Drosophila melanogaster: one gene and its partners. The protein of the gene in region 4 interacts with the protein of the main gene of each other region in a pairwise test. Each region holds a gene or a part of one and is shown on either strand. Other genes may lie near its edges.

The links.
Region 1: the proteins of pim (region 4) and dod interact in a two-hybrid assay, tested with the Drosophila melanogaster proteins (one large-scale study listed by BioGRID).
Region 2: the proteins of pim (region 4) and CG7231 interact in a two-hybrid assay, tested with the Drosophila melanogaster proteins (one large-scale study listed by BioGRID).
Region 3: the proteins of pim (region 4) and ringer interact in a two-hybrid assay, tested with the Drosophila melanogaster proteins (one large-scale study listed by BioGRID).

What each region holds. Positions count from the first base shown.
Region 1 is NC_004354.4:21,341,760-21,348,765, reverse strand, and holds dod (dodo), read right to left. Parts: upstream 3,409-7,006; 5' UTR 3,316-3,408; coding exon 3,258-3,315; intron 3,147-3,257; coding exon 2,814-3,146; intron 2,445-2,813; coding exon 2,335-2,444; 3' UTR 2,203-2,334; coding exon of another isoform or gene 2,017-2,202; 3' UTR 1,908-2,016; downstream 1-1,907. Other genes in the region: peng (penguin), read left to right, coding at 62-764, 833-1,235, 1,334-1,809, 2,017-2,202; fliI (flightless I), read right to left, coding at 4,581-4,991, 5,115-5,265, 5,501-7,006.
Region 2 is NT_033779.5:7,980,500-7,988,959, reverse strand, and holds CG7231 (uncharacterized protein), read right to left. Parts: upstream 5,015-8,460; 5' UTR 4,722-5,014; intron 4,420-4,721; 5' UTR 4,193-4,419; coding exon 4,150-4,192; intron 3,686-4,149; exon of another isoform or gene 3,467-3,685; intron 3,408-3,466; coding exon 3,192-3,407; intron 3,127-3,191; coding exon 2,876-3,126; intron 2,822-2,875; coding exon 2,255-2,821; 3' UTR 2,175-2,254; downstream 1-2,174. Other genes in the region: pes (peste), read left to right, coding at 1-567, 633-1,083.
Region 3 is NT_037436.4:16,352,497-16,362,582, reverse strand, and holds ringer (ringmaker), read left to right. Parts: upstream 1-3,154; 5' UTR 3,155-3,284; intron 3,285-6,134; exon of another isoform or gene 6,135-6,278; intron 6,279-6,391; exon of another isoform or gene 6,392-6,492; intron 6,493-6,546; 5' UTR 6,547-6,553; coding exon 6,554-6,949; intron 6,950-7,215; coding exon 7,216-7,398; 3' UTR 7,399-7,837; downstream 7,838-10,086. Other genes in the region: Pdh (photoreceptor dehydrogenase), read left to right, coding at 8,302-8,445, 8,502-8,903, 8,968-9,258; Tcs3 (Threonyl-carbamoyl synthesis 3), read right to left, coding at 9,370-9,612, 9,668-10,086.
Region 4 is NT_033779.5:10,360,100-10,366,435, reverse strand, and holds pim (pimples), read right to left. Parts: upstream 3,448-6,336; 5' UTR 3,338-3,447; coding exon 3,298-3,337; intron 3,235-3,297; coding exon 2,911-3,234; intron 2,848-2,910; coding exon 2,612-2,847; 3' UTR 2,344-2,611; downstream 1-2,343. Other genes in the region: lft (lowfat), read right to left, coding at 287-665, 756-946, 1,008-1,171, 1,246-1,318; Cand1 (Cullin-associated and neddylation-dissociated 1), read left to right, coding at 3,929-3,973, 4,039-4,422, 4,481-4,770, 4,852-5,014, 5,075-6,336.

The DNA of each region.
Region 1 (7,006 bases), on a different chromosome or scaffold from region 4:
ATGCGCAAATCCTATTGCTCTGATATATATATATCAACATAATTTGGTGCTTGTCTTGCAGCCGCCGAACGGAGAACAAGGACAAGCTGGTGGAGCAGATATACAAGGTGCTCAACGTGGGCGACACTATTTCAAAGGTGGTGAAGGCCCACGACACCGCCCGCGTGATCCAGAGCATGCTAAAGTACGCGTCGCCAGCTCTGCGGGCCGAGATCTCTGAGAAGCTGCTTCCCTTCACCGTGGAGATGTGCCAGTCGAAATACGCCCAGTTCTGCGTGCAACGGATGCTCAAGTACGGTGCGCCAGCCACCAAAGCCAAGCTGGTGGACAGCCTGTACGGACATATAGTGCGTTTGGCCGGACACAGCATCGGCAGTGGGCTGCTGGATTCGATGTATCAGAGCGCCACACCCAATCAGCGCATCTATATGCGCCAGGAGTTCTACGGCGATCTGTACCGGAAGGCCAAGGATTCGAATGTGAAGACTCTGAGCGACACCTATAAGGAGGCCACGAACATGAAGGCCTCCATTTTGGGGTCGGTTAAAGCAAACCTGGATCATGTGGCCAACAAGCAGCTGGTGGACAGTGCGCTGGTGCACGCCGTGATGCTGGAGTACCTGCGCGCCTGCGACGAAGATGAGGAGAAGCTGGAGGAGACGGTCACTGCGTTTGCGGCTCTAGTGCCTCACATGCTGTCCACCAAGGAGGGCAGCGAGGCGGCTGTTATATGCTTCTACAAGTCGACGCCCAAGAATCGCAGAGTAAGTGGATCACGTATAACGTGTGTTGATGAAACAGAATCTTATATGTATTCTAACCCCTTCTTCAGGCCATTATCAAGAATATCAAGGAGCACCTGCTAAAGATCGCCAACCATGAGCACGGCCACGTGTTCCTCATCTCGCTGCTAAACGCACTGGACGACACTAAGGCGACCAAGAAGGCAATTTACGATCACCTACACGGAGATCTAAAGGCGCTAATGAGCAGCCCGTACGGCCGACGAGTGATTCAATGGCTGGTGGCTCCGGGTGATACGACATGCTTCCATCCAGAGTTCATTCGCACGGTGGAGGAGGGTCTAGCCTTTGGAAAAAAGGAGAAGGAGCTGCGTCGCAAGGAGATCCTTGAGCAGATAGAGGCGCCGATTGCACAGTCCATCGCCGAGGATGCCGCCTTTTGGCTGTCCAACAGCCACATCGGCCTGGTCACCGGCGATATTCTTAATCACAGTAAGTGCACACTTCTGAAAGCCATAGCAGAAACATACATATGGATTTACAAGAATATGTTCACGATATTAATGTACGTTTGCATCTCTGCCTTTTAGTTCAAGGCGAGTCCTATGAGAAGGCTGCTTCGGCCCTTGCCCAAGTCGTCGTCCAACCGGAGTGGCGCATTTCAGCAGACGCCGCCGGTCCGCAGCCGCAGGATAAGAAGAAGCCTCACAATGACGTGGAGGCCATTATAGCCCAGGCCACCAAACAGCGCAGAAAACTGCTTTATGTCGAGAGCAGCAGCGACGACGAAGATGAAGATGAAGATGAAGATGAGGAGAGCGACGATGAAGGAGACGAGAAGGAGCAGAAGGAGGCGGCCGCAGATGATGCCGAACCCAAGGTGAAGAAAGCCAAAAAGGAGCCCAAAAAGCCAAAGGCAAAGGAGGAGGAGCCGGCGGCTCCGTTGGTCTCCGGAATCGAGGAGGCCGGCATGCACATTGTATTGAAGAAGATACTCAAGAACGATGGCAAGCGAGAGGGCACCCCGTTCAGCCAACAGCTACTCCAAAACTTGTCCTCCGATGTGGTAAGTACCCAAAAATCATGCCATCCGGTAACCGAGGGTATCTTCCTTTTTCCCAGTCATGAGAAACGCATCGTACTTTTGAGTTTTTTCTTTTATTTAATGACGTTTCGACATTCCTTTAGCTTTAGTCTAATAAATAAGTAGTCGCAAAGTAAACAGCTTCACTCAGATTCCAATTCCTAATTGCGATTCCCTTTCCCTTTTCAGCTGAAAGCCTGGCTGGGCGTCAACCGGGCCTGTTTTGTCCTGCTCAAGCTGGTGGAGGAGTGTCCCGCACTGCTGGACGACTGCAAGAAAGCCATCGCGGCGGAGAGGAGCCTTAGCCAGATACTCGCGGACCGTAAGACGCCCGGAGCCAAGCTACTGGCCGCCAAACTGGACATTGGCAAATGAGAAACGCTTCTAGCCTAGACAAGACCTAACATTTTAAAATACAATAAATAATTCTATATTGAAATGGCTGGGCATTCCGTTTTATTCATGTGAAGGGACGCGAGTTGTGCTGTGGGTCGGTGCTCGATGAGTCTATGCCTTGCGCAGGATGATGTGCAGGCCGGAGTCGCTGTCGACGATGCCCGACAGCTGGTTGACGTTCAATTTGAAGGCAGCGTCCTCGAAAGCCGCCTGCATCTGACCTGTGAGATGTGAAATGTAATTAGAAGCAGTTGCAGGTCGGTTGGGTGGCCTAAACTCTACGATTGCAAGTAGCTCGCGAAGTTATAGGTACAAAAATGTGTAAGGTAAGGAAGATTAAAAAAGAAATGCCGCGGAGCCAATTGCAAATAGTGTTTGTCTATAACTATGCATCTATAATCTATTAGTGGTCGATATATCTTCTCTTCTCTTCTCTTGAATATTGAAAACAATCAGAGCCTCTAGTGGAAGTACCAATCTGTTTCTGGATTGCGCCTCAAGTGGGAAGCGCCTTATTCCTAAACGGACACACATCGAGGACCACTCGATCCTGGACGTGTGACAAATGCACAGTGGGGAGATATACATACCTCTGCCGAACTTTCCCAGGTCGCCGCCCCTCTTGGCGGAGCTGCAGTCGGAGTAGGAGCGGGCCAGCTCGTCGAATGTGGCCTCCTGCTGGACGATTTTGTTGCGATAGACCTCGAGGAGCAGCTGGGCCTCCTCCTTGGTGCGCGTGATGTTCGCCTCGCGCCACGAGCTGGGACGCCGACTGCCCTTGTGCTTAACCAGCAGATGCAGGCAATGCACCTCGTCCGGTGCATCTCCGCCGCCGGCGGATCCTCCGCCCGCCTTCTTCGCCGGCTCTGTGGGCTGATCCCACTGCGACTCCTTTGTGTACATATTGAGATAATAGCTCATTCCTGCAAAATCAATCATGATCAATCAAGTGCAGGTTCAGTTTAGCGTGCCGGTTCCGCATTCCGCCGGAAAACCGCCGGCATGGCACGAGCGGGACTGCACACGATGCTTACCTGTGGAGCGGCTAGTGCGCTTCTCCCAGCCGTCCGGTAGTTGCTCGGCATCTGGCATGCTGTTTTCACTTAATTTGAGTTAAATTACAAATAGTTTTCGGAATAAAATAAACCACCAGTGTGACCGCGCCGAACACGCTTTGAGAACATCCATCAAAATCGATAGCGCCTGCCATCGACATATCGATACACATGGTGGCGAATTCGCCAAATAAGGTGCTGGCACGTGCTAACTGCGGTGGGTGCACTCGCTAACCGCAGATACAGCTGAGGCCAATATAATAGCAGCGAACTAACAATAATGTGCTGATATGTGCTATTCTGATATGTTATATGTATCTTTTGCCGAAAAATTAGCACATAACTTAATTAAATCTATTCCAATACCTCCTTCAATCCGCGACACGAATAGAGGAATTTCAATTTTTCTAATGTTTATTCAGGGGATTAATAAAAATAAAATAAATACGTGGGCATTTGTACAATTAGTTTTAGTGCTTCCTTGACTTTATTACAGGCTAGCTTTAAGTAGGTTAACATTTTAAAAGGACTAGCACAGGGGAGTAATCCTCTCAGCTCAGCGTATGTATATATATATATATATATATATATTGCGTATTTGTAGGCATATGTGATATACATACATATGTATGTATATTTGCATTCAATATACTCATGTGGTTTTCTCGCAGGGAGTGGGCGAATACTTGGCGTTCTTGGAGTTAGCTAATTATTTAGTTAGGGGCGGGAGCAAGTGAGCTAATAAAAAAATTTAAATTAATTATACAAAACAATTAAATACATTTTATAAAAGTACAAACACACGATCTTCACTCACGACCTGAAGGAAGGGCTTGGCTTGGCCCTTTCATTCTTTTTCCCTCGATACAATTTTGCTTTGTCATGTCTTCTGGGGCAGCTACTCTGTCACGGCAGCTGCCCAGCGCATCTTCCCAGCGAACAACATTCGCATCCGGCTAACAGAGGTCTAACTTAATGCTTAATGACCAATTTACAACTCGATGGGGCTCCTCTAACGGGCTAAGATTAGTGGGTAACACCTCTAAGGTGCCTCTATTCATTTCATAAAACTAAACTCACATTGCAGGCGTGCTCTTCGACTTCTGGTTAATAAATGCACTTCCCGAGGCCGATTCACTAGCTCTGACAGGGACTCGAAGGCGCCAATCGAGACAAGCAAGACAAAAACTAGCGCCTTTTAGGCGCTTTCCTTGCGGAGACCTAAATGGCCACATAGCGGCGGTGCATGAATTAGGGAAATTTAAAAGAACTACTCGACGATGCTCCTTCAGTTGGCTAAAATTATAAATACACCTTGAAGGCGCTCCAGCCGTGGAAGCACTTGGTGAAACGGCGCGACTCCTTGTTCTTCATCGTGAGGAAGAGCTTCCTCGGCCGCTCCGGCTGCTTGATCCGCATGTGCTGGATGTAGACCTGGGCGGACTTGTAGGCCAGCTTCACCTCCACCTCGCTGCAACGCGGTCCCATCCACAGGAAGACGTGCTCGCCGTTGTCCAGGATCATGATATCGTCGTCGGCCAGATCGTCCTGGCAAAAGTCGGCGCACTTCTCGGCCACCGTGTAGTAGCCGCGCTCGTTGGAGCACCGGAACAGCCGCGTGTAGTTCATGTACTCGGCGTCCGTATCGTAAGGCTTGCGGCCGCCCAGCGCCACCCAGAAGAAGTTCTCCGGCTCGTCGCCCTCGTTGAGAATCTGCAAAGGATGGATGAAAAGAAACGATTAACAAGAGCGTGTACCTTAATATAAACATATGTACAATATATTCCACAAAACAGCCCACTACATGGTTGAACCACATTAACACATGGAACCCACCTGTAAGCTCACCCACGGCGAGTTGAACATCTGCTCGGCAATATCCTGCACCAGTTTGGCCTCTTCGTTGCAGGCCTTGCTGCCTATCCACACGTACACAATCCCCGACTGCGAATCGTCCTCCGTTTCAAATGGCACATGGAGTATGTAGCTGAAATAATGCGTATGGAATATAAATATTGGAGCGACTACTACTATGTTCGCTATCTTTTGGATATATATAAATAATACTGTGTCATATCACGTAGGCTTCCAGGAATTTCAGTTTCAACCAACGATAAGACAAGAATGTTGATCCAATAAAATCGCACTTGTCATACATCTCAAAAAAAAAAACTGGGTGATTATTACCACCCACAGTAATAAATTATTGGTAATTTGCTCACCAGAAGGTTGAGTTGAGATGCACTGCATCCGGATTAATTTGGATAAGGCGAGTGGTGAGCGCACCGCCGTTCGATCGCAGGTGAAAGAACTCAACTGGCGACTTGCCCTTCGCGGTGTGCGCCTTGTCCTTCCGCTTGCCGGTGTGGATGATGAACTTCCGCTTGAAGTGGGACATGAACTTGAGGTTCTCCTGCTGCTGGAAGATCCGCACCACCTCCAGCTCCTCGCCGAACATCGCCTTGAACTTCTTCTGCAGTGTAAAGGTAAACGTGAGCCATCCCATATTGCCGGCATTGCGTCCCTGCCAAAAGTAAACGACGCACTGGATCTCGTCCTCTGGCTGATTGTTGGCGCTGGATTTACTGACGTCTGCGGCTGGGTTAGCACCATCTTCGGAGCCATTCTCGGGCTCCTCGATGGGAATGCAATAGCGGCAGAGGAACACATAGCATTCGCCGGTGTAAAAGCGACCCAATTCCTCCTCGGGCAGCCGGACGAACTTCTTGTTCTCCAGTACAAAGGCCTCCATCATCTCCAGATCGTAGTTCCACTCCTCCTCCAACTGTTCCGCCTCCGCCAATGGCATGGCCGACTGTCGGGGCATAAATAGCGCGGCAAGATCCGTGCGCGTCTCCTGCTGCCGAGCCCACTGTGTGAGATTAGCCCCTGTCTTGGCCACCGACTTCGCCGTTCTCGTGAAGTCCACGGCCATTACCTCATCCCAGCCAGCGAACTTGGTTCGGAAGATCTGCATTTCATTGCCCTCGGGTACACGCATCACCAGCGCATAATCCGGACGATCCATCATGTTAAAGAGCTCCCGACTCAACTTGACAGCGGCCGCTCGGACCAAACGCGTCGACTTCTTGCCAAACCAAACGAACAGATCGGTGTAACAGTCGAGTATGTAGACGTGCTTGCTATTTAGCAAGGTATGGCAAAGTTTTTGCTCAGGTAACTCCACTTGCGGCAACTCCAGATAACCCATGCCAAGTTGCACCTGGTAGAGGCGAGGCTGCACCGGCTGATAGTCCTCTGGAACGTGCTCCTTTGGTGGCTCTGCGGCGTCTGCCTCCTCCGAGGTCATGCCCAGTCCTTGCCAGAATTCGGCACTCTCCTCGCCCTGCCGCTCCAACTGGATTTCACATTTGTTCTTGCGCTCCGTTTTGCTGATCTTTTCCGCCATTAACCTGGCCTTGGAGTTCAGCGTGTTCTTCGATCTTTCGCCCATCCAAATGTAAATATGGGTGCCCAGATCCAAGACAAAGGCGTGGCGGGGATCCAGGGAGGTAATGGCAGGAGCCACTGGCTCCAGATGAATGGTAGCGCCATAGGCGTGCACTAAATACAATCTGGTGATGTGTATCATCTCTTCTATGGTATAGAAACCAGTAGCTGTGCGTCCGCCCTCGATGTAGATGACTTCCGTCTCGAAGAGGGACAGAAACTGCTCGGATTCATCGCCCTGCTCCTCGCGAACCGTTCGACATCGGGCGCCCAGAAAG
Region 2 (8,460 bases), 2.4 Mb from region 4:
GTTCGATGGTGATATCAACATGTTTACAGGAGCTGATGATATCGCTAAAATGGGTCAGATTCATACGTGGAATAATTTGACGCATACTGGAGCCTTTGAGGGCACCTGCGGGCAGGTGCACGGCTCGATGGGCGAATTCTTTCCGCCCAATCTTGGCACCAAAGACACCGTCTACATGTACATGCCCAAGATGTGTCGTGCTATACCATTGGACTACGTGGAAACTGTGACCGTGCACGGCGTGACCGCCTACAAATTCAGTGGCACCCGGCACGCTGTGGACAATGGCACTCTATATCCGGATACCCGTTGCTATTGCGTCGGAGGAAAGTGTATGCCCAGCGGTGTGATCAATATCGGACCCTGCTCCTTTAACGCATCCGTCTACATGTCCTTTCCGCACTTTTACATGGCGGATCCAAGCTATCTGGAGGCCATCGAGGGTTTGCGACCAGAACGCGAGAAGCACGAGTTCTTCATGGCCCTGGAGCCCAATGCGGGCGTGCCAATGGACGTGGGTGGTGGCTTTCAGGCCAACTACTACATGGAGCCAATTCCGGGTATTACGTAAGTAACTTGACCTTTACATAAGCCTTTTCCTTACATAAACTAATATTTTCATTTTCTTTCAGCTTGTATGAGAATGTCCCGACGGTCATGATACCCATGATGTGGTGCGAGGAGCGCGTACGCGTATCAGAGGAAATTGCCGCAGACATTGCGCTTGTTCCGCTAATTGTCCTGCTGGGGCAGATAGTAACCGGCATCCTTTTGGCGGGCGGTCTTATATGCACCTGCTGGTACCCGACGCGACAAGTGACGCACTTTTGTCACAGCGATCCAAAGGCGAAGGCCAGTGTCCTGCGACCACTGAACGCCTTTGGTGTAAATTCGTCGGCAGCCACAGCGCCGGTGGCCCAACTATTCCGGAACAACATTAGTTCATCGGGCAACGAGCGTGTGGGAGTGCGCCTACTGGATTATAATCGCGATTCTGGCATAAGACTGGAGAGTGGTACCATGGAAAGCTCGCACAGGGAGCGTCTGATCAGCGAGGACTCGCCCGATGTTGTAGTTAGATAATACATGCGTTGGCATCAAGCCATTCTGACGGTGCCGCCAACGATCATCTGCCTGAGACTCATTTACGTCGCCGTAGCTTAGAATAGCTTAGAACAACGTGATGAAACCATTCTGCCTTAGCCAGGCTCTAAGAGGCTGGACCAAGTTGCTCATCGAGGATGTCGTTCCAATTCACGTCACATACCACCACATTACCTACCACGCATGCCCCAATCGCATTAGGAGTTCCCTCAACACATCTGCACGCTTTGCGGACAGCGAGAGAGATTTATAAGATTATTTATTTTAGTGCCAAATAACAGCAGAAAACGCAAGCAAAAAGTCATTAACTATTTTAGTAGGATAAACTAAATTGTATATAGAGCGACTCGCTTAGAGCGCCCCATTACTCATTTTCCTTAATTCTTGAAGTTTAAACTGCGCATGCCCAAAGTATTTATATTTATATAATAATGCATAACATTTGTAGAGCGATATTTAAGATTTTAATGCAGATTGATCTGAAGTTATATAGAAATAATATTGAACAGAGAACATAGGTAGCGAGAATTGTTGCTCATTTACATAGGTAGGCCGAAAAACTAAAAATTATAGTTGTTGTTTTAAGTCTTGTACAAATAACGCTAGCACTGCAAAGATTACGCATATCCTATGTACAAATGTCGATCAGTGTAAGATCTAAATACCTAGATTATAAAGCACAGCTGTGAACCCCGGAAATATTTCCAAAAATTCCTTAAGATAAATGAATAGAAAAAATTATTAAAATCAAGTGATCAAAGAGGGACTTTCTGAAAATGGCAGTAGTTACTAAAACTACGTATGGAGACCCTGAAAAAAAAATATCCAAACATATCTTCATATAAATTTTAAATTCGAAATCCAATCAATTTATACATTTGTTACTATTAAACTTTACATTTGTCTTTGCCTTGAGAAACATATTCCCTTAAATAAGTTTCTTTAAATCCACACAATACACTTGAATAATTAAATGTGTTTTAAAATTCATCTTTTTTATATAAGATGACTCGTCATCCAAGGCGATTTCCAACAATTCCACCTAAACGAAAATAAAACTGTCAACACATAAAAGTATAAGTTTTAATTATGTTTTCTGGAAGTTGTATAAAAATTGCTCTGATTACCGTACTTATATTAATTACGTATATTATAACCGCTGCATCCAGCTGGACAGAGCCCAAAAACAAAGGCTCATGAAACTGAAGCCAAACAGGGATTTGAAGGTGCTGGCTCCGTTGCCGGGATTGTCCAGGTTCAATTGTGAGGCCAGCTCCTCCGGCACATCCAGATAGACTCTATCCAAGCCGAAGCTGAAGATCAGTTTGCGCAACTTATCCACATCCACATAGTCACCGGCAGACGACCAGATGGTCAGGGTGCTCTCGTTTGTCTCGTTCACCGCGGCCACCAGTCGATGCAGTTGCTCCTCGCTGTTGGCGGCAATGCCAGCGCGCACGGGAAAGGTTATGGCCTGGCCAGTGGATAGGACATTGTTCTCGCTCAGCGTTTCCAGCATGTCATCACACTGCTGCTGCGTGTACTCGCCATCCCGGAAGTCGGCTCCCCAGTTAGTTGTCCAGCCAATGGAGAGCACTGCCTGTTTGTAGCGCATACAGCCGGCGAAGAATCGGTCCGCATCAACGGGTACGGTTCTATTCTGTTCCACGGGACCACTTAGAATATCGGCGTTTATCCACACAGGATACGTGGTAGGCTGCACAACACAGAGATATTGTTTAATTTGTTCTGATATCTGAGATTCGATGACCAAACTTACGTTCGGAATATTCACGTCCAGAATGTCCAGGGAACCCTCGAATACCTCGATCGACTTGAAGTCGAGCTTAACGCCCTTTTTTTGGTCCTCATGATCACGGTTGAAATTAATGATCTGGTTGAGAAATTCCGACAGCGTAAGATCAGAGACATTGGCCGGCGGATGGGCCATTATGGGCATGTCCTCGCCATCGCCATTCAGTTTGCCCAGCACAATGTCCGCTTCGATGAAGTCAATGCCACCTTGGGCAGGGAAATGATACTATTGATAAGTTGGTTACACGCGCATATTTGGCCAATGATCTTACTGGTTTCGGTTAGGACCTCGTCCAGCAATTGCTGGCTGTTGACGGCATGGGCCCAGGTAATGGCAGTGAGATTTGTGCCCCATACCTTCATCATATCCGACTGTTTGAGGAATATATATTCGATCTGGGAATCGTCTGGCGCTGTCTGCTCGACCACCACTTGGTACTGATAATTGCTGGCGTTCAGAGCAGACCCATTGATTTTGGCCACGAGCACTGCGAGTGGACGTGAAATAGACGGCATTAATATTCCACAATTGGACAATGGGACGCACAGAGGGCATAATATGGCAGATACGCGTAGATAAGCCCATTTGCCTTCCTTACCACCCTACCAGCGAGAATTGATACGCAAACACATGCAATCCAATCCAATGTGAATTTGTTTACTTCGCAATGAGCGTGTACATATGTATGTGTGCGCGAATGGACTCTAATTAACTCCCTTTGTTATGCGATTTTTATGGAATGCAAAGCGCGTTGTGCCCTTCTTCCGCTTTCACCGAATGCTGCAATGCAACTGCACATCAATAATTCTCTTCAATCTGTCAGCTGTGCAATGGCGCAAGCGTAGAGAGCAGACGTGAAGTGAGAATGGCGAGAAATGTGCTTAACTTCAAGAGACCGACGCTCATATACCCTAGCTCTAAGAGTTTACATGACAACTTATTGACAAAAAATAACAAAATGTTGCTATTTTACGTTTTACCCCCTTTTTGCGATTGTGTAAATGTATTATCAAGTAATGTTACCCAACACACTCGTCAGATTTAAATGTTTTAATTGAGTACAGGAGCATCGACTATCAGATACCTGTTAGTTTTTTTAAGTTATGTCAAAACTAAACTGTCTGGATCCTAATGTTTCCAAGCGACCCAGGGGTCGTATGTACATGAGTTAAAAACATTAAAAAATGATGATATGTAATGATTTTGAAAAGTGCAAAAATACGAATTACCAAATAGTAGCGTTGTAAGTAGAAAGGTAATTTTTGAGTCCATTTTTTCTATAGGTCTAAGGGCACTTGATCATGAACTTGGGACCGCCACGGTTAGAAACGAACTAAATGGCAATTTTTCAGTTTGGCTTATCGATAGCATTTGCTGATTTAATTAAACATTGATTAAGTATTGTAAATTGGTAGTGACAATCTATCCGCATATCCCAAAATCTAATCTTTTAAGTGGTCACGTTATCCGATGAACTCGCGGACTAGTTAAACTAGTTACTACATTATAAAGAAGAAAGAACAAACAAACGTTTTTATGGAAATTATTACCACACATCTTGTAAAATCATATATTTCATTAAGTACGATTTACATTTATTTGCTTATTAAAAGATAAAATGTTATTTAAATAAGTTTAGACCGCGGTCTCTGTTAGAAAAGCGTTGCATTTTAACATTTCTGTTAAATGAGCAGCAGTAATAGAAGAGAAAACGTAAGAGAGCGGTTCAAAGAGCGGCACTAGAGTGACCATGCGGCGGTACACAAGAAATGCGGCCAATAAGCGAGAGCACAAACTTTACCGAAACGAGCGCTAGAAGAACTGGCCACACTACACCCCCGACACTCAGTTTTAGTTCGAAAATTTAACGGCTCTGGAACCGTTCGGACGTGTCGCTCTCGGTGCGCGTGTGTGTGAGTGGCGAATATAAATATCGGGGGAAAAGCTCGCACGTGCGACGCTTGCGAAAAAAAAAATTGAAAATATATAGTAAAATTGTTGTTTTATTTATGAGTCGAACTAATGTCCCGTCAGTTGACTAAGGACAACGCCAAGAAATAAAAAATAGTTTTAGGAGAAATAGTTTCACGACTTTATTCTTTGGATCTCAGCTTAAGACTAAAAATCAAATGCAAATTGGATTGAGGAGAAGCCTCAGTATTTGAACAATATTTGTATTTCGGGAGAGCCTCGCTCTTGGGTTCTTAAGATTAGGTAGCGTTGAAAGAGGGCAGTCAAATCTGCTTAGGTCAGGCTTTAGGATGTTTACAAGAACGGCTGCGCTGCCAAAGATAAACGAATGCTGCGCAGCTGGGATACGTTATGGAAAATTACTAGAGTGCATTACTGATTTCTTTGAAATAATGGAAGTGGCTGGTTTGGACCACCCAAATACGTCACTCCCCTTCCCTTAAAGAGAAGCCTATACTTGGGCTGGGATTGATGGATATAGTGTGGGAAATGGAGTTTCTTCTATTTCTGTTTGTTGTGGTGTGTTTTGATTTTGATTTTTTCTTATTTTAAGTTTTGCATACAGCATCATAAATGGTTTAAATGATACATATCTTAAATATGAGTACAACAAAATTAGTGCGATTATTACAATGATCATTTGTATGTAAAGTGTAATATTGTTCTCTGAAATCATCTCAACAATGTCGTTGTGTTTTACAATTTTTATTTTTGTTATATTAAGTGGTGTGTATAGTGATGTCAAATCTATTTCTGGTTCTAACAGATTTTCACTTAAAATTATATTATTGATTTCTATTTTGCATTGCGTTACTCTTATCATTTTGTTTCCTTCTATTTTTATTTTATTAATTGAATTTTGGCAATTTTGGTTAAGAATTGTTTGGGTTAAGTTCCAGGTTACAATTGTGTTTGGTTCTATGTATTTTATTATTTCGTTCGTGTGTACTGGCTTAAAATTACAAATTGGATTTAAGTGTTTAATAATATTGGTGACACATTCATTTTTTACTTCTTTATTTTCGGTATTATAAACTTTATTTTCTTTTTCAAAATATGATTGTGTGTCTGTGTAATCTAGCTGATAGCCGTTGGAGTCTGGGTAAGGAATTATTTTAATTGTGCTTATTAGTGAAAGGTAAATGGGTATGTGGGATATGATTAATACTTGGTTATCATTGTAGTTAATCCAAGTGGATGTTTTAATGTTCAAAATGTTTTGGCTGTTCACATTTTCAAGTTTGTCGTAGTTTAGTAATTTGGGGTTAAACAGTCCAAGTCTGGAAAGCTGCATAGCCATTTCCAAATCTTCTATGTATTCCGTCATTTATCAATCGTATGGCGTCGTTGAGTTCATGTAATTTTACTGAGTTATGGACGTTGATTTCAAGTTTTTTCTGTATTTCGACTCGATCATTTTCATCTAGTGTTCCAAATAGGTATTTAAAACCTGAACCCACAATGTTAATAAGACCCCGTTTGTTTCTATGTTTCAGGGTTATTCCGGCTAGTTCTCTTTTTATTTTATTGTATAAAAAATTGATCTGGGGTGCATGGTAATCGGTTCGTAGTCTTTGCTCAAAATAGTCAACCACGATGTCTATTTCAGTTAAATTGATTTTTAAGGAGTGATGTTCAAAGGAGGATGGTATCTGTACTGGCTTATCAGAAAAAAGGAGGTATCCGTGGTTGGTGTCAATATTATTAATTTGAATTTGTTGTCCATGAACAGCTGTGATCAGTATAAACAATAGTGTTATCGGGTACCAGGTGCCTGTGAAATTGAGAGTTTATTATTTTTCTTTTGTTTTTTGAATTGTGTTTTGTAGTAGTGCGTAACTCTATTTCTATTAGTGATTTTGTAATGGTCAGGGTCTGTCTGTTCTACATTTTTGGTTGGTTTAAATGGGTTTTCTAATTTGCCTTTCTGTAGTGGACCTTTTCTGTAATTAGTGTCAATATTAAATTCCTGTCTGTCTTCATTTATTTTGTCTATTTTCTTCTCTTTAATTTTTTGAGTGTCTAATATGGGATGCCCAGCGTATAAGAAAATTTGAGCAGGTGTCTGTCCAGTAGTGTCATGTTTAATTTTATGGTTGTATGTGTAGAGGATTGTTTCTATCTTGCTTAATTTTACTTCTTCATCATCAGATGAATTGATTATACGAATTTTTTCATTTATTGTTTTGTGTAATCTTTCGACGTCTGCTACCCCGTTTTTTGCTGTATTGAGCTGTAATTCGACTTCTTCTTCTTCAAGCCATCGCTTTAAAGCTAAACTGGAGAAAGCTCCGTCTCTGTCTGCCTTTAATAATTTGGGTTTACCTAGTTGATTAAAAATGCGCATTAATGCGTTTCTGCATTCTATCCAATCCTTAGTTTTAATTTGCTCAAGTGTAGCGAATTTAGAATAAATATCAATGCAACTGATGTAATGTTTTCCCTCAGATGAATAAATATCTACTACAAATTTTTCTCGGCAATGTTCCGGGTTGGGTGTGATTTTTAAAGGCATTTTGGTGTTTCTATGTTCTGTTTTGGCCAAATTGCATATGTTGCATTCGTTTATTATATTCTGAATTAATAGTTGGCTATTTGGAAAGAAGTGATTTTCTTTAAATAATTTTGTCATTTTCTGTATACCAGGGTGTAAAAGTTTTTCATGTGATTGAAGTATGATTTCTTTGAATTCGGCGTATGAACCAACGTTCTTTAATAGGAAAAGACTGCGAATTACTTTTGTGTAGGTGGTATTAACAATTTCTATGTGTGCTCTTTGAATAATTTCAAAATCTACATCGCTCTCAATATAAATGGTAATGTTTCTATGGATAAAGTGATCGAGTAAAATTTGTTTGGCCTTTTCAAGTGTCATTACATCATATTGAATTGTGGTAATGGAGTTACCGAATATTTTTGAATGCTCTACTTTATTTTTATCGGATTTAATAAAGATTATTTGTTTTTTGAAATAATTTATTGGTTTTTCTGTTAAATGAATAAGGTTGCTATTGTCCTCTTCTGCACTATGTTGAGTAGCTTCACTATGATGATTTTCTTCAATTTTAATTCTTGATAATGCATCGGCAACTGAATTTTCTTTCCCTTTAATATAATCTATTTTAAATTGGTATTCGCTTAATCTAACTCTCCATCTTTCTAACTTAGCATTCGGTTCCTTTAAGTTATGAAGCCATCTAAGAGGTTGATGGTCACTGGCAATGAGAAATTGTCGTCCTAGTAAATAATGTCGAAAAGTTTTTGTGGCCCAAACTATGGCAAGTAATTCTTTTTCGATAGCACTGTAATTTAATTCGTGATCGTTAAGTGTTCTACTAATAAAAGATATAGGATGACCGTTTTGAGAAAGGACAGCCCCGAGGGCCAAGTTACTTGCATCTGTGGTTAAAACAAATTTCTTTTCAAAATCAGGTAATTGTAAAATTGGGTCACGAATTATCAAAGCCTTAAGTTTTTCGAATGCCTCTATGTACTCAAGTTTTTGTGTATCTATCTTTGCTCCTTTTTTTAAGCAGCTGGTCATGGGTTTTGCTATGTCTGCGTAATTT
Region 3 (10,086 bases), on a different chromosome or scaffold from region 4:
AGCCTAGGTCTTCATCCTTTTATACCCAGCAGGTTCTTTCGCGAGTTCTAGGTTCTGGTTCTGGCTGAGGTTCCTGCCGGTCAGATGCTTCTATTCTGATACACTGCGAAAAAATTCTAAAAGTATGCCATATTATTATCTAAGAGAGTATACAAATGTTTTATGCTCTTTTACCCTAATATAGTAACGTGATTTTTATGACTTAAATTAAATCCAAAAATAAGTAGTTCGTAATTTGTTTAATAATGATTTGTACAAAGCTTAAAACATAAATTTAAATGCATATAAATAATAATATTGCTAAAAAAGACTGTTCTTAAATTCCTGAAATTTTAATTTTATGATTATGACAATCATTAAAAAAATATTTTATTATTGATAAAAAAGGTGGTTTATTGTACTTAAATAGAATTCATCAAATTTGTACAAGCACACGTATTTCATTAAAGAATAACCTAATAGTAATAATATCTGTCACATTTTAAAATAGTAAACAGCCAATTAATTTTTTCTCCAAATGTATCCATCAGATGCACTTCAATGCAAACGAGGAGATGCGAATGCGTCGTCGTGTCCACTTGTGTCGTTAACGGACATTGCAGCTCCGCCTTTCACTCCCCTTTTGGGGATCGACGCCTCGTGAAGGCGTTGTCAATTTGGTTTAATTGTGGCCAAGGCTGGAGTGGGCCCAAATGAGGGAGGCAGACCCTGGTTCTCCGCAGCGGGAGGAGCAATCGCTGCCTGGCATCTCCATCTGCATCTGCATCTGGATCTGCAAGCGAGCCAAGGGCCTTGGCTGGGTGGACCATCAAGGCCAAAGACCGCATCCAGACCAGCGTGTAATTGATATGCAATCGTTGTTGCTGCCACAGCATTGTGGCATCTCAGCCTCCTTTTTGTTCGCACACTGCAACGGGGCCACGACAACAACAGCAACTTCAACTGCAACAGCAAATGCAACAACTGTGGCAACAACCGACGACGACAACAACGGCATCTCAAGGTGAGTGAAGGCCAAGGGCCACATTTGGCCACAGCTTGGACACGGGAGTCATGCACTCCAGTGGCGAACAAAATGGGGGTCTTAGGGGGGTCATAAGTACCCTTAAAAATTATAATACTTGGTTAGATACATATGTATGTACATAAGAAATATATGTTTTATGCGAAGAGCTTACAAATATGACACAGAAAAGGGTTAATTAAATCGTTAAGTCCGCTAAATAAATAATATAATGTGAATTTTTAGACACCTTATAGTATACACTGAAGATATATACTTATTTCAACCGGACACTAAGAAAACCCCCTAAGAATATGTTTCCCATCCGCCTCTGATGCACTGCAGCTGCATTGGTATCTCCTGTTCCTCCTTCGCTGGTCATTTTTATTTTTAGCAGCGGGCTTATCGGATGCCTCAGATCTCTGGTGCTTAAACTTCGCTCCCGATTAGGAGGAGGAGGAGGAGCAACTGCAAGAACCACATTGGATTGGCCTTGACGGCTCGGCTGATAAGTGCGTTTTAATGTTAGCCCCGTTGGCACTCAGTTTCAATCAAAGCCCAATTCTCTACAACCATTCCAGCCTGGCTTAATGAGCTGGTTAGTTCTGGCCTGGAATTGAAGTTGGATTGGCAATATAGTCCGGTCCACTTGGTTCACTCCCTTTGTTCTGTCTCGAGTGGACTGTGCCCTGATTTGTGTACCACCATTGGTTCTTTGAACTGCCTTCGTGGCTAATTAAAGGTGCACTTAAGATAGGCCAGGTGGCAAGAATCATGTTTTTCATTTTTCAGGACTGGGAGTACTTTGATTTTATGTCCTAGAAAAAAAGAGCAAACGAATCAGTCTAAAAGGTATTTCAGCTGTAAAACATTCCATAAATATAGGAAATTTAACTCTTTCTAATTTTAATTAAAGAATATTCTAAACGTCATCTGGTCAATAAACTAAATGAATATTGTAGAATGAAATATTTAAATTACATATCAAACATTGTATATTAAATAATAATAATCAATGGACCTCTGTTTGTAATACCTAATGCTTAATTTACGAAATTAATTAGAAGTCTCCTCAGGGTATTTCGTTTTCCAAGTTAGTCTTTCAGTTGCTTTGTATTTTGGTTTTGGGCCAGGGCTATGACTTCATCGAGTTGGCCACAAAAACTTACCAAATTCTTCCGACCGTCAGTTCTCATAAATCAATGTCAAAGGTTTTTTTTTCGTTCGTTTAGGGTTTGTTTTGGGTTTAGGACGGGCTTGTTGTTTCAGTATGTGTTTAATCATTTTATGGAGTGCGAAGTAATTTCCTTATGATTTCCTATTTGACTTTTACTTTTTCCTGAATGTCCAAAATAGAAAAGTTCAAAGAACCCATTTACCTAGTAAGGCGGTCGACAAATCTTAACCGCTTGAAATAAGTACTCATTTGCATAGCTAAGCATGAGCTCACTGGTTAGTATAGCCCAAGTCACACCCCAAAAACACGTCTAAGTAAGCCCAAAAGATACACCCTTCATTATTCGAATTGTCTGGCACTTGTTGTGTGTGTTTTTTGCCCAACAATTTCACGCATCGTTTTTTGTTTTTTTGCGCTTAAACAAATTTACTGACTACAAACTCACTGTTTTAGTAGCTCAGACTGTGTGGCGAACCCCTCCCCTTCTCTTTAGACAATATAAAATCAGGAAAAGCTTTAAGCTTTATTCCCTAGAATTTCACTCACAACAAACCAAAATTTTGAGTGTAACTTGTTGGTTTGATAAGATTCTGGTGTGTAGCGTCACTTTTGTTATTCTGAGTTGTTTTTAGGTCTCGTTTGTTTCTTTTTCTTTCTGATAAATGGCTTCGTCGTGTGGCTTTCGTTGTTAGTTTTCGTGTATAAAATTTTGCGAAATGAAGTCATCGCTTGAAAAAAAATTGGGGGGTCAGTAAAAGTGTCTATAAGATCCAAATCGTTTTCCTTATCTCATTCAGAAAGTTTTGGAATTTATGTTAGCTCACCAACGATTTGCCATCTTTTCTTTGGATAAAATGCTAAGGAGGATTTTCCTTTTTGAGTTTCTATTTCACTCAGCGAAAGCTCACTCAAAACAAAAATATCACTCATACGCCGCTTGGGCCTTCGCTAGCCACTGGCTGCGCATTTGTCCAAACAGTTGAGTTTCGACATCGCCAGCATTCGCGCGTTTGCCTTAAAGTGATTGGAAAATAGCCGAGGAATAAAACAAATATTTTTTTGGAAATATATTCAAGAATTTTTGGAACTTTTTTAATAACAAATGTAAGTTGGAAACGTTTCGAGAAAAATAATCTAGTTCGTTGGATTTATTTTTTTTTTTAAAATGTTACTGTATCCTGCATCTATAAGCAGACTCCGAGCCAAGGATATTTTTTTTATTCATTTTATGAGTAGCAGGTTCATATTTTCAAGAGCAGATTTTGACCCACTTACCGCGCATCGCGTTCCCCTTTTCTTTTGTTCCTGGGGAGCACCATTGTTTTCGATTTCCTTTGGGAGGTCCTGATTTAGGCGCATTTTCCCCGCTTCCGTGTGTATATATGCGTGCATTTGAATCATCAGTCTGAAATTCCAGTACCGAGACCCCCCAGGAAACCCCTTCTCCAAACTGGCGCTTGCGCGTTTCCCAGCTCCCAGTGATGTCATCTGGGCTAGTGGTGATGTAGCTACACATTTCATACACATATTATGTCCCGAGCATAAGTCCCCCTCCTAAGTCAATGATTTCTCTATTGCGTTGCGTGCTCTATCAGAATGCCCATGACTTCCTGTTTTGTTCCCCCCAAAATAAAAGTTCTCTTTAATTTATGCATTCAGTCCGAGGTGCTAATATTTCTGTGTGTTTATTAACACACGTAAACTCATATGTGGTGCAGTATTTCATGTTTCTCCCCCCAAAGTCGTTTGTTTTATAAATATACATCGAGATGACCCAAATTTCGCTTCCTCCATTCGCTTTCCAGCGGTCCACTTGAGGTAGGTTGGGTTTATAATTGCGTTCCCCTCTCCAGGAAGTCCATTCTTTTCGAAAATGGCTATCTATAATATTCATTCATATTCCTATTCAAATTGTGGTCATATGTCATATATATTGCCCAATTAACTTTTACCATTTTGGTAGAAAACTAATTAAAATGTTGGCAACGAATTCGCAATGCTCGACTGGAGCTGGATGAGAACTTGTTCTCCAAATCGAAAATACAGAGAAAGAATCCAAAACAGAGATGGGAAATGAGAAGAATCGAATTATTTATGGTCTGACAAGCAAGCGGATTATTTCTGATTTAGACTATCCACGCTCCCCATCAGACTGCCTGATTTTCTGCCATTCATTTCACGAGGGGTATCTGCACTTTGAGTTGCCAAAGAATATTAAGAAAATAATTTATTTTGTGTGAATATAGTATCCAAGTCTGATCAGGGTATCATAGGATGAGTCTTTCCATTGTCGATTGCGATGATTTAATACTTCCGCTTTTTAAATTGATTACGATCATCTTAAACTGTTAGTATTTCCCTCGAATAATTATAATATTTAGATTTTTGTAAAACCTTTCAGAAAATTATTAGCAATCGGGCTTCTATTAAAAATCAAACTAATAACGTCAATCTTAGTGTAGAAAATTGGATCTAACAATCCGAACTATTTGCATTGGCTGATGGTAGTTAAAAAAGATTGATTTTACTAATATTACAAAATGAATTCTATTGTGAAAAAAAGCATTTTGAAAGCCACCATAGATAACCTAAAGATATTTCTTATTAGTTTTGATTTTACAGGTAATTTCCTAGTCGATAGCCTCTTGTTTTTTGCCATCTTAAAACTCTTCTTGCATATTCCAACTTCTTTTGTGGTGTAGTTTGTCAACTTTTCTTGTTTCCGAGTATTTATGGCTTCCAATTACATGTAGGGGCGGAGTAAAGGGTTCCATTAGTCTTGTCCGGGAACTGGGACCGGATAATTTGTATCGTCTTGAGCGGAGTTCAAGTTCAATGGCCCTGGTCTTGAGACCAATAAGATGATTAATGACCGGCAGACTTGCTATGCATGCAATGTTCCCAATTAACCACTCAGTTTACATAGATCATTTCGATGGATTATCTGGGGAATATGGGCTATTAAATTGCCTCACCCCAGAGCTATTCAAAGCTGATCCCAGAACAGCGTAATCAAGAGCCGGCGTAATGAGGCGATGACATAAGCACTCATTTTTCGATTTGGATTGCGAATGGGGCTAGGGGGTGGTAAAATAGTATTTGACATGCTCGACGGGCTGCATCAAGGTCATGGTGATTCTACCCCGCCCGTCCACTTCGATTTCGATTCGCATCTGTGCGGGCACAAGCCGTGGCATCATATCTCACGGATAGAGGACTCCAAACTGGTTGCAGTCGCATCTTATCGCCGCATTAAATGCTTGCCCAAACGGCTTCCATCTCTCCTGGGGCTCCAACTTGCAACCTTAAGTGGTGCGTAATTAATGGCTCCGCCAATAAATGCTCACGTTTTATTTACTGTTTATGGAATGATGGGGATGGGTCTGAGGATTCGACTTCGTGTTGGGTAGCCTGTAAACAAGAGGACAATTTATGCTACAAGCAATTTTAAAACTAAATTATCATCCAAATTTATGCCACGTTCGGTGGGTAACAAATTAAGCGAGGAATTTCTGGCGATGCGTAAAATATTTATTGCTCTTTTTGTTATTTTAATAAGCGTAAAAGTGATTCATTTTAATAATTTTAGGGTATATCTATAACTGTATAGCTGTACCGTAAATACCTAATATCGCCTTAGGATTATTAAAACCCATGATAACTGCATGCTAGAGACTAATCATAAAAGATCTAGCAAGCTAGCGCTAAGTTCTGACCCCCATAGAGTAACCCATGTGAGCCAAACCTGTTGACTATTTGTTTTGTGTATTTGGGTTTGCCAAAAGGCGATAATTAGCTGCGTTGGGAGATGGGGGACCCAAACCGATGACGCCATCTAATGATTGAGTCTCTCCCAATTTGCCTTTAGATTTCCATCTCTCGAAATCTAGCTGAGAGAGCTTTGGCCTAGCTTTGGGTGGGTATAGCTTTGCCTTTGTCCAGTTCAGCATGGGTTGTGATATCATTGCGAAAGCGAAGTGAGTAAAGTACTGATAAGGTGTTCGCAAAGATACGTCTGGGAATAGCACCTACATATGTAGATAGTTGACAGTGACGGACAAGACCCACCGCAATGTTGGTGAGCGTTGTGGCCCACAGGTGAGGAACTGCGTAGGTGACAACCGTAGTCAACCGATTACGCAGGAGCGGAAAAGTTGCGTGTTGGAAGAAACCACTACAAAATGTTAAACAAAACAATGACCTATCAGGCTAGGCATATTATTAATAATAAATGATCCTCAGTCCATCTGTAAAATTGAAGGTTCTTTGTCCGTAGTTGTTTATTTATTACTGGGCATCTATTAAAACACCTGTAGGGTTCAGTAAAGGTTAAAAAAATATATATAATATTAAATATATTTTTCAGATCCACCATGTCCGAGGTAGCTGCAGCAAATGGAAGCCCCTCCCCAGCGCCAACTCCTGAGGTGCCCGCTACCGAGTTGGCCCAATTGGCGCTGGAGGATGAGCCCAAGGTTAGCTTTTCGGATCAGTTCAAGGCCTTCTCCAAGTTCGGGGACTCCAAGTCCGATGGCAAGCTGATAACGCTGTCGCAGAGTGACAAGTGGATGAAACAGGCCAAAGTTATCGACAAGAAGATCACCACCACGGATACAGGCATCCACTTCAAGAAGTTCAAGGCCATGAAGATCTCGCTCAGCGACTACAACAAATTCCTGGACGATCTGGCCAAGACGAAAAAGGTGGAGCTGTCGGAGATCAAGCAAAAGTTGGCCAGTTGTGGAGCTCCAGGAGTTGTGTCCGTTTCGGTGGGTTTGATAAATTGGTTGTGAAAAATATGATCTATATAAGTCAAATGATTAAGATTGATTTTAAAGTGTAAAGAACTTCGAGAAGACCATTTAGATATGACAAAATTTAAATGATTTTTTTTTGACTCATTTAAACTATCAATTGTTAAAGTAGTTTTCTTACAGAAGTTCTTAAAAAATATCTTTTTAAACCTTTGAAAGTCATAACCATATACTTTATGCCTTTATTGAAAACCTAATCAACATTTTGTTACCATTTTTAGGCTGGAAAAGCCGCAGCTGCCGTGGATCGATTGACGGATACGAGCAAGTACACCGGTTCCCACAAGGAGCGTTTCGATGCCTCCGGAAAGGGCAAGGGTATCGCGGGCAGACGGAACGTGGTCGATGGATCCGGATATGTGAGTGGCTACCAGCACAAGGACACCTACGACAATGCCCACTAGATGGGGTAACCACCGTTTTTCACCCTCTCATAAATCTGTATTTCTAACTTTTGTGTTTCCCTAGTTAATGTCTCCCAATCTAATTTATCTTTGTGTATATAATAAGTTTGTGATAATTTAAGTGCTTACAAATAAACTTATATTTTTGATTATAATTTTTGAGTTCCTTTACTTTGTTTATCCTTCTTTGTCCTTTGATACGTAAAATTTTGAAGCGGCCCAAAAAGAGTTCAAAAGTAAATCCAAATCAAATTTATATACATTTCATGGCAATCAAACCCATGTTTGGTAGTCTTAAGATAACAGATAAACTTTTAATATTACAATTTGTGAAAGAAATTTAAATATCACATATGGAAACCAAAGATATACGACATACATATGTAGATATATGTTATGTTTTCACAAGAATTTTGCTTGAATAAATACACTTTAAAATATTTGCATTGCTAAAATTTGTATTGGGAGGAAATACAATTTAAAAAACCAAAATTTTAAAGCAATTAAGATGGTTTTGTAAATCGAAATATACATTTAATTGTAAGATCTTTGAAAAATGCCCAACATGTGTACCTTCTTAAAAGCAAAGATTTCACTGGAAGATAGTTATTAAGAGATCATTGCTTTATCTACACAATGACATTATCACTGATGCAAAGCTGACATCGAAAAACCGGAGCGGTGTGAAGCAGACTGAACGCTACAGCGACCAGATGGGGATGGAAATTGATATATGGGCATAAGTTGCATAATCCTAACCCAGAGCAGGTGGAAAACTAGCTATTGATTGCAGTCGAACCAAAGTCACTCAACGATATATCATATAGCCCTTGGGAAATAGGTATAAAAGCGGCGAACATTACAGCTCCAAGTCAGCAGTGCAACTGAGGAGCTCAGTGCTTGATGAAGCCACAAGGAATACCACCGACTACTACACGAATCAGCCAGACCAAGATGTCCTTTCGCGGCAAGAATGCAGTGGTGACCGGTGGAGCTGGAGGCATTGGACTGCAGGTGTCCAAGCAGCTCCTGGCCGCTGGAGCAGCGGTTGGTTGTTTTACACATAATTACGTGAAGTAATTTCTAAAGCGAGTGCTTCCTAGAAGGTGGCCATCATTGATTTGCAGGATAATCTGGAGGAGTTTGTAAAACTTAGGGCCGCTCATCCCACCCAAAGCGTAATGATCATCAAGATGGATGTGGCGAACAAGAAGGGTGTGGAAGCCACCTATGAGGAGATAGCCAAGACCTTCGGTAACATCGATATTGTGGTCAATGTAGCCGGGATTTTTAACGACAAGGATGTGCAGAGGACTCTGTTGGTAAATCTCGGTGGAATCATCAATTCCACACTGAGTGCATTGCCCTACATGGGCAAGGATAATGGCGGCAAGGGTGGCATTGTGGTTAACATGAGCTCGGTGGTGGGTCTGGATCCAATGTTCATCATTCCCGTTTACGGAGCCACCAAGGCTGGCATCATCAACTTCACCCGGTGCTTGGCGGTAACAAGAATTTCTTACATATCTTTTGAATTAGGTTTTTCATTTAAGTCTCTTTCTTAATTAGAACGAAAAGTACTATCAACGCTCGGGCATCAAGTTTGTGACTGTTTGTCCTGGAGCTACAATGACGGACATGTTCACCAACTTTACGGAGAAGATCATCTTCCCGGAAACGAGTGACGAGACCTATAGGATCCTGGATAGGCTAAACAAGCAGAGTGCCGCTGATGTCTCTCGATGCATTCTGAATGTCCTGGAGAAGGACAAGAACGGAGCTGTCTATGTCATCGAGGGTAAGCGCGTTTACCCTTTGGAAATTAAGCCCCAGTGGACGGGCAAGGAACAGGCCCTTTAAGTGGGTTAATTCGTTCACATCCTAAACACATGCATTTTACAAATATGAAGTTATTATGGACACTAGTTATTTAATAAACAAACGATGCACAGAAATAAGTTCTTGTGGTGATTAGTCATCCCGCCAGCTGACCAGCACTTCGTCCGTTCGAAATCGCTGAGTCACATAAGATTCCTCAAAGGGCATCCTAGTGCCAGAGCGGAACATTTCTGCACCAGCATGGGCAATCATTAGTCCGTTGTCTATGCAGTAACGTTCATCAGTGGCAAAGAGTTTGCCTCCGCGTTCCTCGCACATAATACGCATCATCTCCTGGAGTCGCTCATTGCAACCCACACCTCCAACTATAAGGACCTGAAAAGAAGTCGGTTAACTCATAGATTAATTTCGGAAAACTGTTGCAACCAACCTCATTTGAGCCGCAGTGTGCCATGGCGCGCTCTGTGATCTCCACCAACATGGCGAAGATGGTCTCCTGCAGCGAATAGCAAAGATCGGCTTGGCTGTAATTATTGACCTCTTCTTCCTGTGGCTTTTTTCTCTTATTTTGCCTCTTGCCCGGCTCTGCCAGGTCCTCGATGTAGGATAAAATCCCCGAGAAGCTGACATCCATGCCCTTAACCACATAGGGCAGTTTAATATAACGATTGCTCGACTTGGCCAGCTGCTCGATGTTGTAGCCCGGACTAGGATCGTTGGACAGCTTAATGATGCGGGCGAATCGATCCAGGCAATTGCCCACTGCAATGTCTATAGTTTCGCCAAAGATGCGATATCGCTTATTGGAGTAGGCAATAACCTGTGTGTTTCCACCGCTCACATAGAGAA
Region 4 (6,336 bases):
ATTCATAAAATACAAATGAACTTTTAAGTTAAAATATTATATTTATTTTATTGGATTTAGTCTTATTTGTGTAGCAGCTGTTTTAAAAATCACATTTTCAAAGATTTTTAAATTAATTTTCATAATTTGGAAGTGTTTGTGGGAAGTGTAATAATTTCCGCTTGTTTTTCATCATGGAGATCATATGGTATGCCAATTAAATAAATATTGATCGTCGTTAAAGTTGAAATTATACGATTTATCTAAAAAAAGGGTTAATTTCGATCGTGCTTATTAATTTTTCCAATTAATCATCAATGGTAGCCGAGTTAAGGGCACTGCCGCCCAGCTGATTATGTGCTATCATAAGGATATCCTTCTTCTCCTTCGGAAAGCGCAATTCACGCCCAGCCATGCGAAAGGTCTCCAGCTCCCTCTCGGCGAGCACCAACTCCCTGCGAATAACGCCTGGATTATCGTGCTCCCTGGCAATCCAATCCAATGCCATCTGCGATCGCATCTCGTCGTCCAGGCTCCGGTTCGAATAATGAGCCACCACTTCCTGCCTGGAGCAGTGGCGTTCGCGCATTGCTTTCAGCGATCCGTTCCAGTGAAGCAGTTGGAACACGGTCATAAGCTCCTGGAACTCCAGCATGGTTCTTCCCTTGTTCGCCTCCAGCATGAATCTAAACTCAGAAAAATGTTTATTAATTCATAATACTTAGAAAGATAGGGTTTCAATAGCAAGTGCATATATTATGGTTTATGGAACCCACCTGAATGCTCCGATGCCCGATTCTGTGCCCTCGTTGATTTGCGATGTGCCCTTGAAGGAAGTGCGAGCATCCTGAACCGCCTTTTGAATGAACTCATCGCTGATTCGACGCGATGGATGCTCATTAAAGACGGAATTCATTAGGGCGATCTTGGCCGAACTGCGACGAGCCTCTGCCTTGGTGGGACAGTTCTAAAATGTAGTAAATGTGTTACAAAACACTGCGTCAACACTTTGCTAATAACGTAGTTACTTGAAAACTTCCAAAGCAGCTTCCTCCAGGAAGTGTTACGAAGCAAATGTATGGCTGGCTATTAGACGGAATCGATTCGTAAATCACAAGAGCTCCATTTTTCAATTCAGCTCCACGAGACTGCTTCATTTGCCAAAACTCTTGTAGGGCTTCAACGACATTTACTGAACGATATGCGAATTATGCGACTGGTTTATACTAATAGATAAAAAAAAAAACAAACACAAATCAAACTCACCTCTATAATCTCTATCCTCGTAAAATCCAGTTACGGTTGGTAAAACCCAAAAAGGTTCTTCGGGATAGACCATTTTTAAGATTATTCAATATTGTGTTGAACAAAGAATGGTTTCGGGTTTCGTTTTCAGCACAAATAAAACCGCATATCATTCAGTGGCTGCAGAAATTAACATCTAATTAATTTATTGGCTACAAATACTTAGTACATGTGTTAATTTAATTTTTTGTTCACTAAAAGTCCATTGAAGTGTCGGTAATTAGTTTCGATCTTGATTTCATCAGACAGGAAATATTATACATTAACAGCATATGTTTACATACATACAAGAGATGTATTGTTGCACTGGTGACACTGCCACGTCTTTAAACATATGTACATCGCAACATCCCTCGGCAATTACGAGTTTGTCGCCTAAGTCTTTCGATTCGGTGTGGTCGGAAAGTTTGTTAAATGCGTATGTATTTTGTACCAATTGCCGTATTAGGTCATAATTTTAACACAAACACAATTATTAGTGAACAATTGCACATCTTAAGTGAGTCTTTTTATGTTCATTTGCACGAGTATATGTTTATTTGTTAGATTTATACCTCTTTTGCATTTACATTTCGTTTTATACACTCATATTGTTAATTTTCACTTTTATTTTATCCAGGAGAACGGACCACTAAGGTCACCAGCGAGACGAGAAACCTTTCTGCAGCAATGTAAAAAAAACTGGATACATTACTGTGCCGCAGTGTTGCCAACTGTTGGCCACCAGAAAAAAGCCAGACGTCATTTAGCGGGAAAAGGCTAACAAGATGCAAACAAAAGCTAGCTAGCTGGGAAAATATTTTGGTTTACTGAACAAAAATGTTTAATTCCCAAATAAATATAAACTTTTCATATTAGGCAAACACAGAGGAAACCCTAAAAATAGATTAGAATTATTCCACCAAATATCAAATTCAATATAAACGGAGTGAATATACTTAAGCCCCGCGAATGCTGATAAATATCAAGAGACAAAAGGTGGAAGCAATAAACTCTGTTTACATTCACAACTGAACTCCAAAGCTCCATAAATTAATCTCCCAGTTAGTTTTTATAGTTGCTTTAATTCAAAATCACTTCCAAACGAGGTACATCGTACACATATAATTGCCTGTTGGAGGCTTAATGTCGGTTCTTAAACTACTAAATATATTGTAGCGTAAAAAAAATATTTTTCACAAATGTGATTCGAGACAACAAACTTGGATAGCTAATGGTATAACAGTTTCTCTTAGCATAACATTAATAAATAATTAATTAGTAGTACAAAGATACCTAGCTAAAAAATATTAAACTACAATTAATCATAGAACTTTTAAACAAGGATCTAAAATAGAACATCAATGCCTTCCAAGTTAGGCAATGGGGGATATAAATTTAATAAGTATTCAGGCTCTGCAGGCTCCATGTTTTCTGTGTTGTATATGTATGGCAGGTCAGTAAAATCTAGGGGCGGAAGGCATCTGTTTTCCAAATTATTTTCCAATGTGCGCAGATCAAGATAAAGTTGATCCAATAGTCCTTCATAGCCCTCTTGATTTTCCGACCAGGTCTCTGTGACCGCTGTAATAATACAACTTATAGTACAATTTTCAAGGGGAGTTGTTTAATATGAGCGGTACTTACGCTTGCTGCAGTTCTTCAAACATTTCTCGTTCGGAAAGTCAGTGTAGTTGAACAAATTGACGACTCTGTATTCGCAATTCAATACGTAGGCGCCCAAAAAGCAGCTATTTGTTTTATACCTAACTTCCTCGCGATCCCTGCTGACCACATTTTGTTTGGGGGCCTTTCGCAGCGAAAGCTTGGCAATACTACCCTCGAGTTTCAGAGAAGTGCTTTTGAACGGGGTTATTCCAGGAGTTTGGTGCATCACATTGTCAAGGTTACCAAGAGGTTTCTTCAATACGGAATTTGTAGGAACTCCATTTTTAATGGGATTCGCTGGCACTGCAATGATAAATGGCTATGTAATTACTAACACGAACGGGAGTCGAACCTAATTCAACTTACAATTAATGCCGGTGTTTTCCTTGTTTAAAATCTGATCCATTTTGTTAGCATTTATTGGTGTTAAAAAGGTATTTTGATTGAATTCTAGCAGTGAGCTGCGGTTTAGTTTAAAATAATTCCTGAAAACGAGCGGCACTTTTCTAGAGATGGGAGACTCTTAGTGCCACATAGCTGATATATCGTTCATCTGAAACGATGGTAATGACACAAAGTATTTTACTAGTAAATAAATTGGGAATTAATATTTGATAATATATATATTTATATTTTGATTGTCATGTATTAACTCAAAAATAAAATAACCTAAATATAAAAATTTACTAGTACATAAAATCTTGTTCCAAAATATTTCTCCACCGTATTTTATACCACGAAAATGTACCAAAACCATTATCGGCATCCAAAAGGCATTAGGGATTATAAAGTGGGTTTTTTAGTTTTTCAAAGTGGGCCCACTTAAGCAGCCTTTATAACAAAATTGAGTGAATATAAAACTTGGAGATTCAATACCGGAAAAATTTCAGTAAATTTTCAAGTTTTAGAACACCAAAAATAGGGCAGCCCAATACAAATACACAATATTTCACTTATCAGTTAATTGCTATCGATCGAACGTTTCAAAGCCTTCGCTATGGCGTCACATCAGTACCACCAAATTGCCAATTTGCTGGAAAAAGTATGTATAGAATTTCATTTTTGCAACATAACGAAATTCTAATTCCGCTCTCTCGTCTGCTGCAGATGACGTCGACGGACAAGGACTTCCGTTTCATGGCGACAAACGATCTGATGACGGAGCTACAGAAGGATAGCATCATCCTGGACGACGAGTCCGAGAAAAAGGTGGTGCGAATGGTGCTCAAGCTGCTGGAAGACAAGAACGGCGAAGTTCAGAACCTGGCTGTCAAGTGCCTGGGTCCCCTGGTCAACAAGGTGAAGGAGATCCAGGTGGAGACCATCGTGGACTCGCTGTGCGCCAACATGATGTCCAACACGGAGCAGCTGCGCGACATATCGAGTATTGGCCTAAAGACAGTGATTGCCGAGCTGCCGCAGTCCTCAAACTCCCTGGCCCCAAATGTCTGTCAAAGGATCACCGGCAAACTGAGCACAGCAATTGAGAAGGTGCGTTATATTGCTATTCCCTAGGCACCCAAACGTTTAATCCGTTGTTCCTTAATAGGAGGACGTCTCTGTGAAACTGGAGTCGCTGGACATTCTGGCCGATCTGCTCTCTCGCTTCGGGGAGTTCCTCGTTCCCTTCCACAGCACCATTCTGAAAGCTCTGATGCCCCAGTTGGCCTCATCGCGCCAGGCTGTTCGCAAGCGTACCATCGTGGCCCTGTCATTTCTGCTGATCCAGGCCAATAGCAACGCCTACAACGGTGTCATCGATCATCTGCTCGATGGCCTAGAGAACCCACCAAATCCAGCTGCCATTCGAACTTACATTCAGTGCCTGGCTTCGATATGGTAAGTTCCAATTCCTGAAATTGTTATATATTTTATGCCATATGATCTTTAGATGCAATTTTATTTAACTTTACTCTTTAGTCGACAGGCTGGCCATCGACTTTGCAATCACATTGATCGCTCCATGCTCCTGCTGAGCCAGTACAGCCAGCGGGATGACGATGAGCTGCGCGAGTTTTGTCTGCAGGCCTGCGAAGCTTTCGTCATGCGCTGCCCAGATGCCATAAACCCGCATATTCCCATGGTAAGGAGTACACATGCTTTATGTTCTCATTCACGTTTAATAGCTTATGGGTTTTGTTAGATCCTGGAGCTGTGCCTCAACTATATCACCTACGATCCAAACTACAACTACGAGACGGATGATGGCGACACTGGCAATGCCATGGACACGGAGGATGATGAGTACGTCGATAGTGAGGAGTACAGTGACGACGACGACATGAGCTGGAAGGTTCGTCGCGCTGCAGCCAAGTGTCTGGAGGTCTTGATATCCACACGGCAGGAGCTCGTCGAGGACTTCTATCGCAGCCTGAGTCCGGCTTTGATTGCGCGCTTCAAGGAGCGTGAGGAGAATGTTAAGTCCGACATATTTCACGCCTATGTGGCCCTGCTAAAGAACACACGCCTCACCGACGACGTGGCCAACGACCACGACTCAATGGATCAGGTATCGGGTCCGACCTCGCTGTTAATTGAGCAGCTGCCACTCATTGTGAAAGCCATACAGCCGTTAATGAGGGAAAAATCGATGAAAACGCGTCAAGACTGCTTCCTCTTGCTGCGCGAGCTGTTGAATTCGCTACCAGGTGCCCTGGGACCCTACTTGGACAGCATTGTGCCAGGCATAAGCTATTCGCTGAATGACAAAAGCTCTACCAGCAACATGAAGATCGAATCTCTGGGATTCCTTTACTCGCTGCTCCAAGGACATCCGCCGCATGTCTTTCATCCACATATTCCCCTACTGGTGCCCCTCGTAGTGACTTCGGTCTTCGATCCTTTCTATAAGATTGCCACCGAGGCGCTTTTGGTGCTGCAGCAGTTGGTAAAGGTGATTCGTCCATTAGAACCGAATGCGGCCAAGTCCGACTTTGATGCCCCATCGTTTGTGGGTCAGGTTTACTCGTGCACATTGCAGAAACTGAAAGTGACGGATGTCGACCAGGAGGTAAAGGAGCGAGCCATAGCCTGCATGGGGCAGATTATCGCCAACATGGGCGACATGCTGCAGAATGAGCTGGCGGTTTGCCTGCCAATCTTCATGGAGCGCCTAAAGAACGAAGTAACCCGTTTGAGCAGCGTGAAGGCGTTGACCCTGATCGCAGCTTCGTCCCTGCGCATAGATCTGACACCCATCCTGCACGACGTGTTGCCCGCATTGGGCACATTCCTGCGTAAGAACCACCGCGCCCTCAAGCTGCACTCCCTCGATCTGATCAACAAGATCGTCATCAACTATTCGAGCAACTTCGAGGCGAACCTTCTGCAGACAGCCATAGTTGAGATCCCACCGCTTATATCGGATTCGGATTTGCACGTAGCCCAGTACTCTCTGACGCTTTT